Linked DNA regions of Cricetulus griseus. The protein of the gene in region 2 interacts with the protein of the main gene of each other region in a pairwise test. Links are inferred from orthologs where the notes say so. Each region holds a gene or a part of one and is shown on either strand. Other genes may lie near its edges.

Evidence for each region.
Region 1: the proteins of Khdrbs2 (region 2) and Rbm3 interact in binary tests that used the Homo sapiens proteins (3 or more experiments, as listed by UniProt). The link is inferred for Cricetulus griseus from reciprocal best matches to the Homo sapiens genes KHDRBS2 and RBM3.
Region 3: the proteins of Khdrbs2 (region 2) and Hbz interact in binary tests that used the Homo sapiens proteins (3 or more experiments, as listed by UniProt). The two-hybrid records come from large-scale screens. The link is inferred for Cricetulus griseus from reciprocal best matches to the Homo sapiens genes KHDRBS2 and HBZ.

What each region holds. Positions count from the first base shown.
Region 1 is NC_048604.1:114,619,148-114,622,826, forward strand, and holds Rbm3 (RNA-binding protein 3), read right to left. Parts: upstream 2,248-3,679; coding exon 2,145-2,247; intron 1,933-2,144; coding exon 1,826-1,932; intron 1,185-1,825; coding exon 1,079-1,184; intron 990-1,078; coding exon 896-989; intron 635-895; coding exon 574-634; downstream 1-573. UniProt on the Homo sapiens protein: Cold-inducible mRNA binding protein that enhances global protein synthesis at both physiological and mild hypothermic temperatures. Reduces the relative abundance of microRNAs, when overexpressed.
Region 2 is NW_023276807.1:15,381,107-15,384,759, forward strand, and holds part of Khdrbs2 (KH domain-containing, RNA-binding, signal transduction-associated protein 2), read right to left. Parts: intron 1,212-3,653; coding exon 1,065-1,211; intron 1-1,064. UniProt on the Homo sapiens protein: RNA-binding protein that plays a role in the regulation of alternative splicing and influences mRNA splice site selection and exon inclusion. Binds both poly(A) and poly(U) homopolymers. Phosphorylation by PTK6 inhibits its RNA-binding ability.
Region 3 is NC_048600.1:45,948,123-45,951,386, reverse strand, and holds Hbz (hemoglobin subunit zeta), read left to right. Parts: upstream 1-1,394; coding exon 1,395-1,489; intron 1,490-2,294; coding exon 2,295-2,499; intron 2,500-2,611; coding exon 2,612-2,740; downstream 2,741-3,264. UniProt on the Homo sapiens protein: The zeta chain is an alpha-type chain of mammalian embryonic hemoglobin.

The DNA.
Region 1 (3,679 bases), on a different chromosome or scaffold from region 2:
GCTACCATAACCAATGTCTTAAAATTTGTCTTTAAAAGGGAAACAATGTTTAAAGAACACATGGAGCTTTCTAAAAGGTCTTTTAACAAAACTACCTTGGGAGCTCAATTCAAAAATAGAACTCGAAGTACTAAAACAGATGTTTCAGCGCAGCTCCAAAAATCTTTATAAATACAGCAATTTGGAAGGACGATCCTGGATCAGAAGTATTATTCCTTGTGTATCTGAGAATAGTAAGAAGGGGTAAAATTTTGATGTCAAGAAGAAACAGACTGATAACATGATCACCTCCCAGAGTTGATAAAGATGCTGCACACCACCTCTTTACTTCTACCATGCCCCATAGAACTTGACTTTAGGACACCCCAACCCTGCAACTAGCTTTGGCATGCACCTAATAGCAAGACCAACCAAATGGTACTGACAGGGTAAGATACCAAGGCAGCAGAGATAAAGGGTGGTGTGGCTGGAAAAAAAGCAAAAGGGCTAGGACAGGAGGGTTTGAGGAAACAAGTTTGACTCCACTCAACGCCATATTTAGGTCTCACCTACATTATGTGTGCATGCCCCATCTCAGTTGTCATAATTGTCTCTGTAATTTCCTCCTGAGTAGCGGTCATAACCACCCTGGCTTCTGGGAAAAAGTGGAATAATTTTACAGGAATGTATTCTACACAGCAGACAGTAACATTAAAAACTATACATGCCAATTTCATAATAGTGCATTCACAATATAAATAACTTTTTGTGGTGATGGATAGTAAGCCCAGGGCCCCTCACATGTTGGGCAAAATATCTTTGATATATCCAAGCCACATAATACAAAACTGAATATTAGGCTCCTGAATTATCAAGAACACCAGTACCAGAGGTATCCCAGTCTCTCAGTACCCACCTGCCACTATAGTCTCTGGACCGCCCATATCCATATCCATATCCTCCAGGTCGACTGTCATATCTTCCGCTTCCATAGCCCTGGTCTCCACCACCTTTATTTCAAAATAGCAGTTGAACGTTCAGACATAGGCTTCTAACAAATGACTATCTCATCTCATAATCAAATCACCATTGCACTTACCTCTAGAGTAGCTTCGACCACGCCCATGGGCCCCAAAGGCACCCCCTCTGCTTCCCCGGGCAGACTTGCCTGCATGGTCCACACGGATCTGGCGCCCATCCAGGGACTAGGTGTGGGAAGGAGACAGACACAAGGGAGTGCTGTCAGTCAGTCAGAGTGGTGACTGAATAAGAATGGGCACAGGCAGATGGACAAGAGCCCAGAAATTCCTGCTGGGCACCAAATTCTGGGTGCCATGTTCCAGAGCAAGCTCCTCTGACCAGAATGGCTTCACCAGGAGTTACAGATTCATTCCCACAAACGACCTGAATCCACCGTGCTCCCCTGCTACTACTTACATCTTGACTGAATTCAGGCTGAGTTCTCCTCCCCACTCCTCTAAGCTGCCCGACTATTAGGGCTAGACACCTCTCTCGGTTTGAGGCTTCAGAGTCCGTCCCAGAAGACTCACGAGGTCCTCTCCGGGCCAGGCCCACAGGTCTGCAGACTCTACTACCTAAGCCCAGAGCAGGTCAACCATCCACAGGTGGCTTCTCGGCCTCATGCAGGACCAGTCGTCGCCTCCCAGGCAGCCCGGCTCTGTCTGCCGCTGCCCTCCACCCCCTAGAACAGAAGGCAGTCATGCTCCTGTGAGTGGACACTGCGGGGCTTTGTGGCCACGCTGCCCCTGGCAGACATAGAGGGAAAACAAAGAACGAAGAAAGTGGCAGACAGGGAGAAGGCTCCTCTGCAGGCAGGAGGCCTCACCTCTCCATTCATGGCTCTCATGGCATCTGAGGCATGCTCTGGGTTGGTGAAGGTGATGAAGCCAAAACCCCGGGATCTTTGAGTCTCCCGGTCCTTGACAACAACCACTGGGAGGGACAGAAATGTAAATGTTAGTACCCTAACATTTAAGTGCAAAGGAGAACGGACCCCCCCCCAATCCTGCATCCCATTGCATTTTTCTCAGCCTAACCGTATCTTAAGAAACACGTGAAGTTAAGGAGAATTTCAAGTTATAAGTCCCAGACTAAACTAGCTGTTCTCTACCAACCCTCAACCCGTGGGCTGGTCCATGGCTCACCCTCAGAGATAGGCCCAAAGCTGCTGAAGTGGTCTTCAAGTGCCTGCTCATCGGTGTTGAAGTTGAGCCCTCCCACGAAGAGCTTCCCTTCTTCAGAAGACATGGCAAAATGCAAATCCTATAGGGCAAATATGCGGAAATTGGGGAAAATAGTTAATGTGGAAGTGGTGAGATGTCTAACACCTGAAGACTGAGAATTACAGGGATCACAAAAGGGGGGGTTAAGAGAAATAAATCAAACGGCAAGAGACTCAGGAGCAGAAAAGGCGGGAACCAGCAAGCCAGAGAGAGCTTGTCCGCCATTTGCCGACCGCTACGGCGCATGCCCACAACATCCCATACCACCACACCCGTCATTTTGTATGGTCGCGCAGGCCTACAAACAGCCTTGCATTTCCTCTTTCCCTGCAGAACAAGATGGCGGCGGTCACGTGGGAAGAGAGAGCCGGTATAGGTTGTCGCGTGGTCATTCCCGCCACGGACCCAGCCCGTCCCTTCCGGCATTTCTCCCGTTCGGATGCAGCACGCCAGCCTCCCAAATGGGAGATTTTCCTTCGAGCCTGGGACTCGCCCTCTACGGAGAAGCTCAAGCCTACGTGTCAGCTGCCGCTACCCTCCCTACTCTCGTCACCCGTCCCTGGCGGGCAAGGAAGTGAGGCGAGGTACGACCGCTGCGCAAGCCAAACGCTGCTTACCTGGACAAACCTGCTTAGAAGCAAAAGGGCTGGAGACACCGCGAGCTCTAAGGAACCGGGAGAAGAGAGAGGCTGCCGCGCGGGAAGACGCCTGATAAAGCGTGCGTAGCAGATACGTCACAGAACGTACCCCAGCGCGCCCCGACGTGCGTGCTCATTGGTTAAGGGCAGCGGGGGCGGGTAGAGAGAGAGGAAGGCGGAGGAAACAATTCGCCTTGCCGCTTCCGGGAATAGAGAGGAACTTTAGAGTTCAGTGCATCTTAATATAAGCATCTCTGTGCTAGCATAGAGATTGCCCCCTCCCTTTTCCATCTACAAATGGTTTGATTCATATAGCGTTTTCCTCCCTGACGTCATTTTCACCGCATTTGACGTCATTTCTCCCCTTTGACAGCAAGTCCCTAACTGACAGTAGACCAGTGCCAACCAACTACCATCCTCAGCAATCAATCAATCTTATTTACTTCTAATCCTTTAACCTCATATCCCTTAAGGCCCCAATGTTTTATCCCTCCATGTCTCTAAAGTCATCACCTTCATAGTTCTTGATGTCATGCCCTACATTTTTGAGTGCTGAAACCCCTACCCCTTATTCATCTCTGCCCAACACCTAGTATTGTTATGGGACCCTTTACCTTGGTGTCATCCTCAACTCGCATCCTTATCTGACAGTCTCTTTAAGCCTCATATGCTTTCAACAGAACAGGTATCCTATCGTCAAAGGGTGCAAATCCAACCCACAGGATGAATATTGCTCCCTAATACCTCTTGATCAAAAGGGTTGAGTTTTGCAATACATAGTGGAAATCCAAAGCAAGTAGTGTCTGAGTCCACTGCCTG
Region 2 (3,653 bases):
CCAGATGAGACTCAAATAGTAGCTATGCACATGCAATTAACAGATACTCAACTTAGTGTGACGTTATTCGATAATTGTGCCTTGACAAAGATTAATATTGGGATTGGACATGTAACTAGAAAATGTGGCTAGAACTTAATGCTTGTACACTTAAGGGAATCTATGCTATTTGTCCTTTCCAATTTTCTATACCACTACTAGTCCATGGATCTTATCTGCCGGCCACCTTCTCTGAGGCTTTTACTGAGTACACAAATTTCCAGTTTCTTCATTTGTAAATTAACCTCAGCTATCTATGTTCTGGACTGAGGATCTTTCTAAGCTCTTCCAGGGAACTTTACTCAGCATTCTCTCAATATCTCATAATATCTCAAGCCCCTGGGTAAGACTTATACTGAAGCCCTTGTTTCTAGAATGTTCAATTGTTAACCTTAAGAATCTATGCATTTATGTTCCCCTGTCTCTTGGGAAATCAGTAGAGAATGCAACTCAGTTTGCATCTGAATTTTCCATCCTCTATTATTCTCACATTGCATGGTGAGTTTAAATTTCTAACTGTCTAAGTTAACATTTATATGCCTCTGTTAATATACCTTGTACTACCTGACAGGCTACCACACAAAAGGCATTTGTTACTTTAAAATACTATCATTATCTTACTATAAATAATACATATTCAATCTCATCCATCTTTTTATTCTACATTTTCCTACGAATTATAAATTATCAAAATACATGTCAACGGCTTATAAAAGGGAAAGGTGACATAAAATCATGTACTTTTGAGCATACGTTTCTCTTATTAGTGTTTCTGGCTGTGGATTGATGTATACAATACACAGGTTGGTGATGAATACTCATGTCAGATGAGAAGAAAGTGCCAACATGCCAGGTCTTGTAATAAGTGTCCTGTGTGCCCAATTTATTTAAGATTTGTATCAAATCTATGCATAGAAAATTAATGTGCAGTGTGAACTCCCTTCCAAAAAGTTACTAGAGATCAAAGACACAATTTAAAACTAGGAATGGATAAGAAACAGTTTGTAAATTCAAAAATCACTTACAGGAACCAGGAATTTTTTAATCTCTTCCAAGGCATGACTCATCCGTGAATAAGCCTCGCCAGGTGGAGCAAACACTTCAATTAATACATGCAGCTCATCACTCAGGTGTGCATACTTGGCCTCCCCGCTCTTCCTCAGCTCTTCTTCCTGTAAAAAGGTTATTTTTAGAAATACGGATCCACTCATTTTGCATTGATTTAACATTTCCTGAGATTATGACAGGGCCACAATCTAAGTAAATTTTCCAAAAGTAGGAGGAAACTGTTGGAGAAATGATAATTTGTTGCAAGCCAGTTGACAATTTTCAAATAATTCTTCAGAGTTTAAATCATCCACAACAAATTTCAATAGGCTGGGTGAAATGTTAACCTTTTGATGTTCAGATCCCTAATTGCTGTTAATCCTTGCACACACATTACTATGTTCTTGAAGGGCAAGGTTCTTTTAGTACTTGCTATATAGTATATGGTACTTAATGATATTTGCTGCTCTGATAGAGGACAGAACTTGGGTCCTCAGAACACATATTGTTCAGATTCCATTCACCTGAAAATCTAGCCCTTCTGTTTTGTTCTACACATACACACACACACACACACACACACACACACACACACCAAGAGCAGAACTAAGAAAACTGCATCCATGCAGCCTGTTTGCTGGCTTAGCTACCTTTATTCACTCATACAGTTCAGGACCTAGACTAGGTGCCACCTACAGTGGGCTGAGTCAACTGACAACCAAGACAGTCCCTTGTGGATACGCCCACAGGCCTATGTAAGATAATTCCTCAGGCAAGACTACCTTCCCAGGTGATTCTTCAGTGTAGCAAGTTGGCTTTTAAAATCAGGCATTATGTCTTAATTTACTAAAGATCCCTTCAATAGAAGTACAAATGTAACTTACAGGAGCACACTGTGTGACCTGAAGCTGGCATATTGCTATATGGACACAGAGTAGTCTGAGCAACTCCAGCAAATGGAGAGTCCTTAATTTTGTGAGTGTTTGTATAGCTTATAGAAAATAAGATAATCTAAGTTGCTGAGGTGACACATGACTGTAAGCCTGCTACACTGGAGCTAAAGCAAGAGAAGCCAGTGTCCAAGACCCAAATGGGCAGAAAGAGTGAGCTCTTCTCCCATGTTACAAAAATAAAAAGATAAATGATAAACAGGCAAGCCAGCTTTAGATTTCCATGCAAACACTATGAAATGCAGAAAAGTTTCAAATAAATGCCATATTGTTAATACCAGAGAAGTTAAAGCTTTATGTTTCTTCTGGGATGGAGCAAATCACTTAATTATGGGTTTCTTTTCATGATTTTAAAATTTTTGATTTTTTTATTTTATCTATCTTTTATTGATTTTTTGTGGATTTCAGATCATTCATCCTGATTGCACTGATCTCCCTCTCCCCTGGCATCTTCCCTCTGCCTATGGACCTCCCCACTAAAACAAAACAAAACTTAAAAGAAAAAACAAAAAACCTACATCCCTCCCCCCCCCACCTCCCATCCCCATCTGTCCCTGGTGCAAACTTTCCCTCATCACTACCCAGGCTAGCCCTCCAGTACTGCCTCAGCTAGCTTACCAATGCAGCCTACAGCAAGTGGAGGGGCCAGTCTCCTGCTGCAGGTTGTCAGATCCTGCTTGGCTGAACTCACACCACCAGCAACAGCTCTACTATTTTGCCCAGGTGAAGTGAAGGGCCTTCTCTCCTGATTACTGTAGCTGGTAAATGGAGGGAGGGGGGTGGGATCAGCTCTCCTACTCTAACACTCTCAGGCTTAACTAACCTGTGGCCCAACAACAGGGTCAGCTCTAGTGTGCTGCCCAGGTGAGTTACACTCCTGTGGTGCCATGCCTGTGGTGCATGCCTAGTCTGTTTCATGATAACCAGTGCTAATAATCCCCCCTTCCACATGTTAGCATATAAATTTGGCAAACTTTGACTCACTATTTGAGATGTGTAGCTGCTTACCCACAGAATGCTGAAAGTAGTAAGAATAGTCACATAGCAAGATGTAATCACACATCACTATTGGTAAATGTTCTCAGCATACATAGCTCATGTTCAAAACAATATATCAAATTATGCATGAACAAAGGAGTTCATGTCTTCTAAGATCCAAATTAATTTTCCACAAGTAGCTTTTCCAGTGACACAAACTAAATAATAGAAAAGTTGAAAATGCATTATGTACAGTATATGCAGTTTTATACTTTGGTTTCTACTTTAGCAATCATTATTGTCATATTTTATCCCAAAAGTTATAATTTACTAAAGTGCTTTTTGCAGGCTTTTTCTTCTTAATGCCTGAGGGATATTTTGTCTAACATAAACCCTCTTCAGAAATAAATAAGTCTATTGTCTGAAGGACTCTCACCATCAAGAAGTTCAAATAAACACACATTTATTATTCATATTGTGGCCTGAATGGGATTTGTGTAAATCCCCAGTTTAAAAACATTTTTTAAATAGGCGTATGTAGAAAAATCTTAAGTCATTATAAATAAGTAGTGTAAATTATATACACACAAAAGAGATACACAAGTACATGGTACAGAAATAATCACTAGATTCTAAGCA
Region 3 (3,264 bases), on a different chromosome or scaffold from region 2:
AACTAATAGAAGGTATTTGTGAACAGAATATCTGACAAAAAGAAATGTATCCAGATTGTGCACAGAATAACCAGAAACCACCAGCAAGAAAACACCTCAGTTCAAAAGTGGACTAAGTACTTGGACAATGAGGCTACCAAAGATAACATATGGGTGGCAAGTAGCCAGATGGAGAGATCTTCCACATCACTGGCCATCGGAGGAACATGATTCTCAGCCACAATGTTATTATACCACTATTTACCTGTCAAAACAGCCAAGATTCAAGAACTCTGGCAATGATACTCATAGTAAAGACACTCACGAAGACAGTTTGGCATTCCTTATAAGGTTAAAATATGCATTTTGCATACGCCAGCAATTTTACTCCTAGCTATAGCTGTGTCTACAGACACGGAGATAGAGACATAGAAACCTGTGTTCATGCATAGCCTTCCCTATGAATATTCAAAGCATCTTTATTTGTAATAACCTTACACAAGAAACAGCCCAAAAGTCCTTCAGTGAATGAAAGGGTAAACTGCTGCAGTATTCATACCATAAAATAAAGAGTAGCCAACTGCTGATACTGCAGAAGAAAGAAGCCAGTCTTAAAGGACAGAGTGCTGTATGATTCCAGTTATACACATTTTTGAGAAACATGGATTAGCATGGCTTAGGTTGGGAGCAAGAGGAAGATGAGACAGCAAATGGGTGGCTGTGGGGGTTTCTGGGATGGCAGGGCTATTCTTTATCCTGATTGTAACTTGGTTACATAAATCTGTATGTGTGTCATTTCAGAAGACAATGAGCAAATCAACTTCACTACATGTTAAGATAAACTAAAAGAATCATTTGTGTTTCTCCAGACACTGGTTGCTATGGAGGGCTATGGTGCAAATGGATGATTTTCTTTTGTTAATCTGTCACCTCCTGGTGGGAGCAGTTTTCCATACTCTTGCCTCCGTGCTGAGTGATAGGGACTACTACTTCCTTGGAGGAAAACCAAGAGTCGCAGGAACTAGGGGACAGGGTGGCACAAACAATTTGTGATTCTGAAATGAAGGACAGTGCAGATCTGGACACAGGAATGGCCTCCTGACATGGCTGGGCCCCTATCTCTCCTGGTCTCTGTGCAGGACTATGACCAACACCACCCTTAGCCGAAGGGGAGTGGGCAAGAGTGATAGCAATTGACCTCGAAATCCCACTGGGTCCTGTTTCCCGTTGTGGGTCACTGTGTCTGATAACAGGCCCCACCCTACAAGCCCCCTCCTCTCTCCCAACCAGTGGCCGCAGCCTGGCAGGGCCCCTGACTTTGTGTATATAAGGGGACACTGGAGACAGCACCATCAGGCCAACCCTGAGTGCTTTCAGCTCCAGCACAGCCTGCAGTCCTCACCACCACCACCACCATGTCTCTGATGAAGAGTGAGAGAGCCATCGTCATGTCCATGTGGGACAAGATGGCTTCCCAGACCGAGGCCATCGGCACCGAGACTCTGGAGAGGTAAGTCCAGGCACAGTCACTCCAGTCGGAAGCCAGGGATCAGTAAGAAGGGGGTGACAAGGAGGAGTTAGTGGGGAGAAGCCACTGAGAAAGGGCCATGAGGAGGGGGTGGTAAGGACGGGCAGTGAGGAAAACACGGTGATGAAGAGGGACTGGCCGTGAGAGCAATGCTTGTAAGGAGGGGATCCAGGCGGGCTGATGAGAAGCTAGAGTAGGTGGATGGACATTCACAGCCCTCATCAAAGTCCTCCACATGGCTCCACAAGTCTTTGTTGAATGAATAGGAATGAATGGATGAACTCACCAGTGGATGCAATGCCTTGCCATATGGAGCCTGGTGCAATAGGAAATAGTAACATCAATCTTGGGTTTTGTTTTTTAAGATTGAGAGAGCGAGAGAGCAAGAGAGAGCGAGAGAGAGCGAGAGAGAGAGAGAGAGAGAGAGAGAGAGAGAGAGAGAGAGAGAGAGAGAGAGAGAGAGAGCGCACAGGTGCCAACGAAAGCTAGAGGCATCAGATCCCTTGCACCCTAGTTACAGGAGGTTGTAAGTTCCCTTCAAGGGCAGTCAGTGCTCTTAATCACTGAACCATCTCTCCAGCCCCTAGCTTTATTTCTTTAAACACTGTGTAAAATATTGTTTTGTTTTCTTTTTCTGTCTGGTAGGTCTTTGTGTACCCCTTAAGTTTTGAGCCCAAGGCAAGAGCCAGGGTCCTAGCCCACCACCTAATGAAACACCCACACCCACCCACCCACACACCCACCCCCACAAAAAAAAAAAAAACTAACGCTTTCTCCCGACCCCCAGGCTCTTCTGCAGCTACCCACAGACAAAGACCTACTTCCCGCACTTCGACCTGCACCACGGGTCGCAGCAATTGCGCGCCCATGGCTCCAAGATCTTGGCTGCTGTCGGCGAGGCCGTTAAGAACATCGACAACCTCTCGTGTGCTCTGACCAAGCTGAGTGAGCTGCATGCCTACATCCTGCGTGTGGACCCTGTCAACTTCAAGGTGGGTTTGTGAGAATGGAAGGGGAGATCATCAGGGAAGGACACAAAGGAGGAAATCGAGTGGGGTCTCCGCGGCACTGTGCACTGAATCTCCTCCCTTCTCGCCTCTGCAGCTCCTGTCCCACTGTCTGCTGGTCACCCTGGCCGCACGCTTCCCCGCCGACTTCACAGCTGAAGTCCACGAAGCCTGGGACAAGTTCATGACTATCCTGTCTTCCATCCTGACTGAGAAGTACCGCTAAGCCCCACCGCCACGACCCCCAAGACGGGCTACGACCCCTCTCCTCCCCTTCACTGAACCCTCCCTCGGGTCTTTTTTTGTAGCCCCCAATAAATGGTTGAAGATGGAAATAACTGGTCCTGTGTTCTCAGTCTTGGAGGGAAACCGGGATGGGGACGCTAGGGTATGGACAGGGCCTTCGCAGAAACATTGTGGGTCCTAGTGTCACACACTGCCTAGAAGACATTCCTAGGGTGGTTGGGGGAGGGTCTTGCCCTTGAGAACCCCAGAGTCAGAGCATCCCAGGGCCAGCTGGACTTCTCCTCGCCTTCCTAAATCTCTTCGAACAGAGTGGTGGGTGATCAGGAATTACCCGAAATCTGACATCACAGCTCCCTCCTCCCTAGCAGCTGGGGGAGGAGGTGTCCCTGTCTTTAAAAGAACAGAGGATTTCCTGGCCGATTCTTGCTGGCTCCATCCTGACAGAGCTGTAACTGCCTTCATAGGAGTAATTACAAGTTCCGGGAGTTCGAAACGAAGACATCC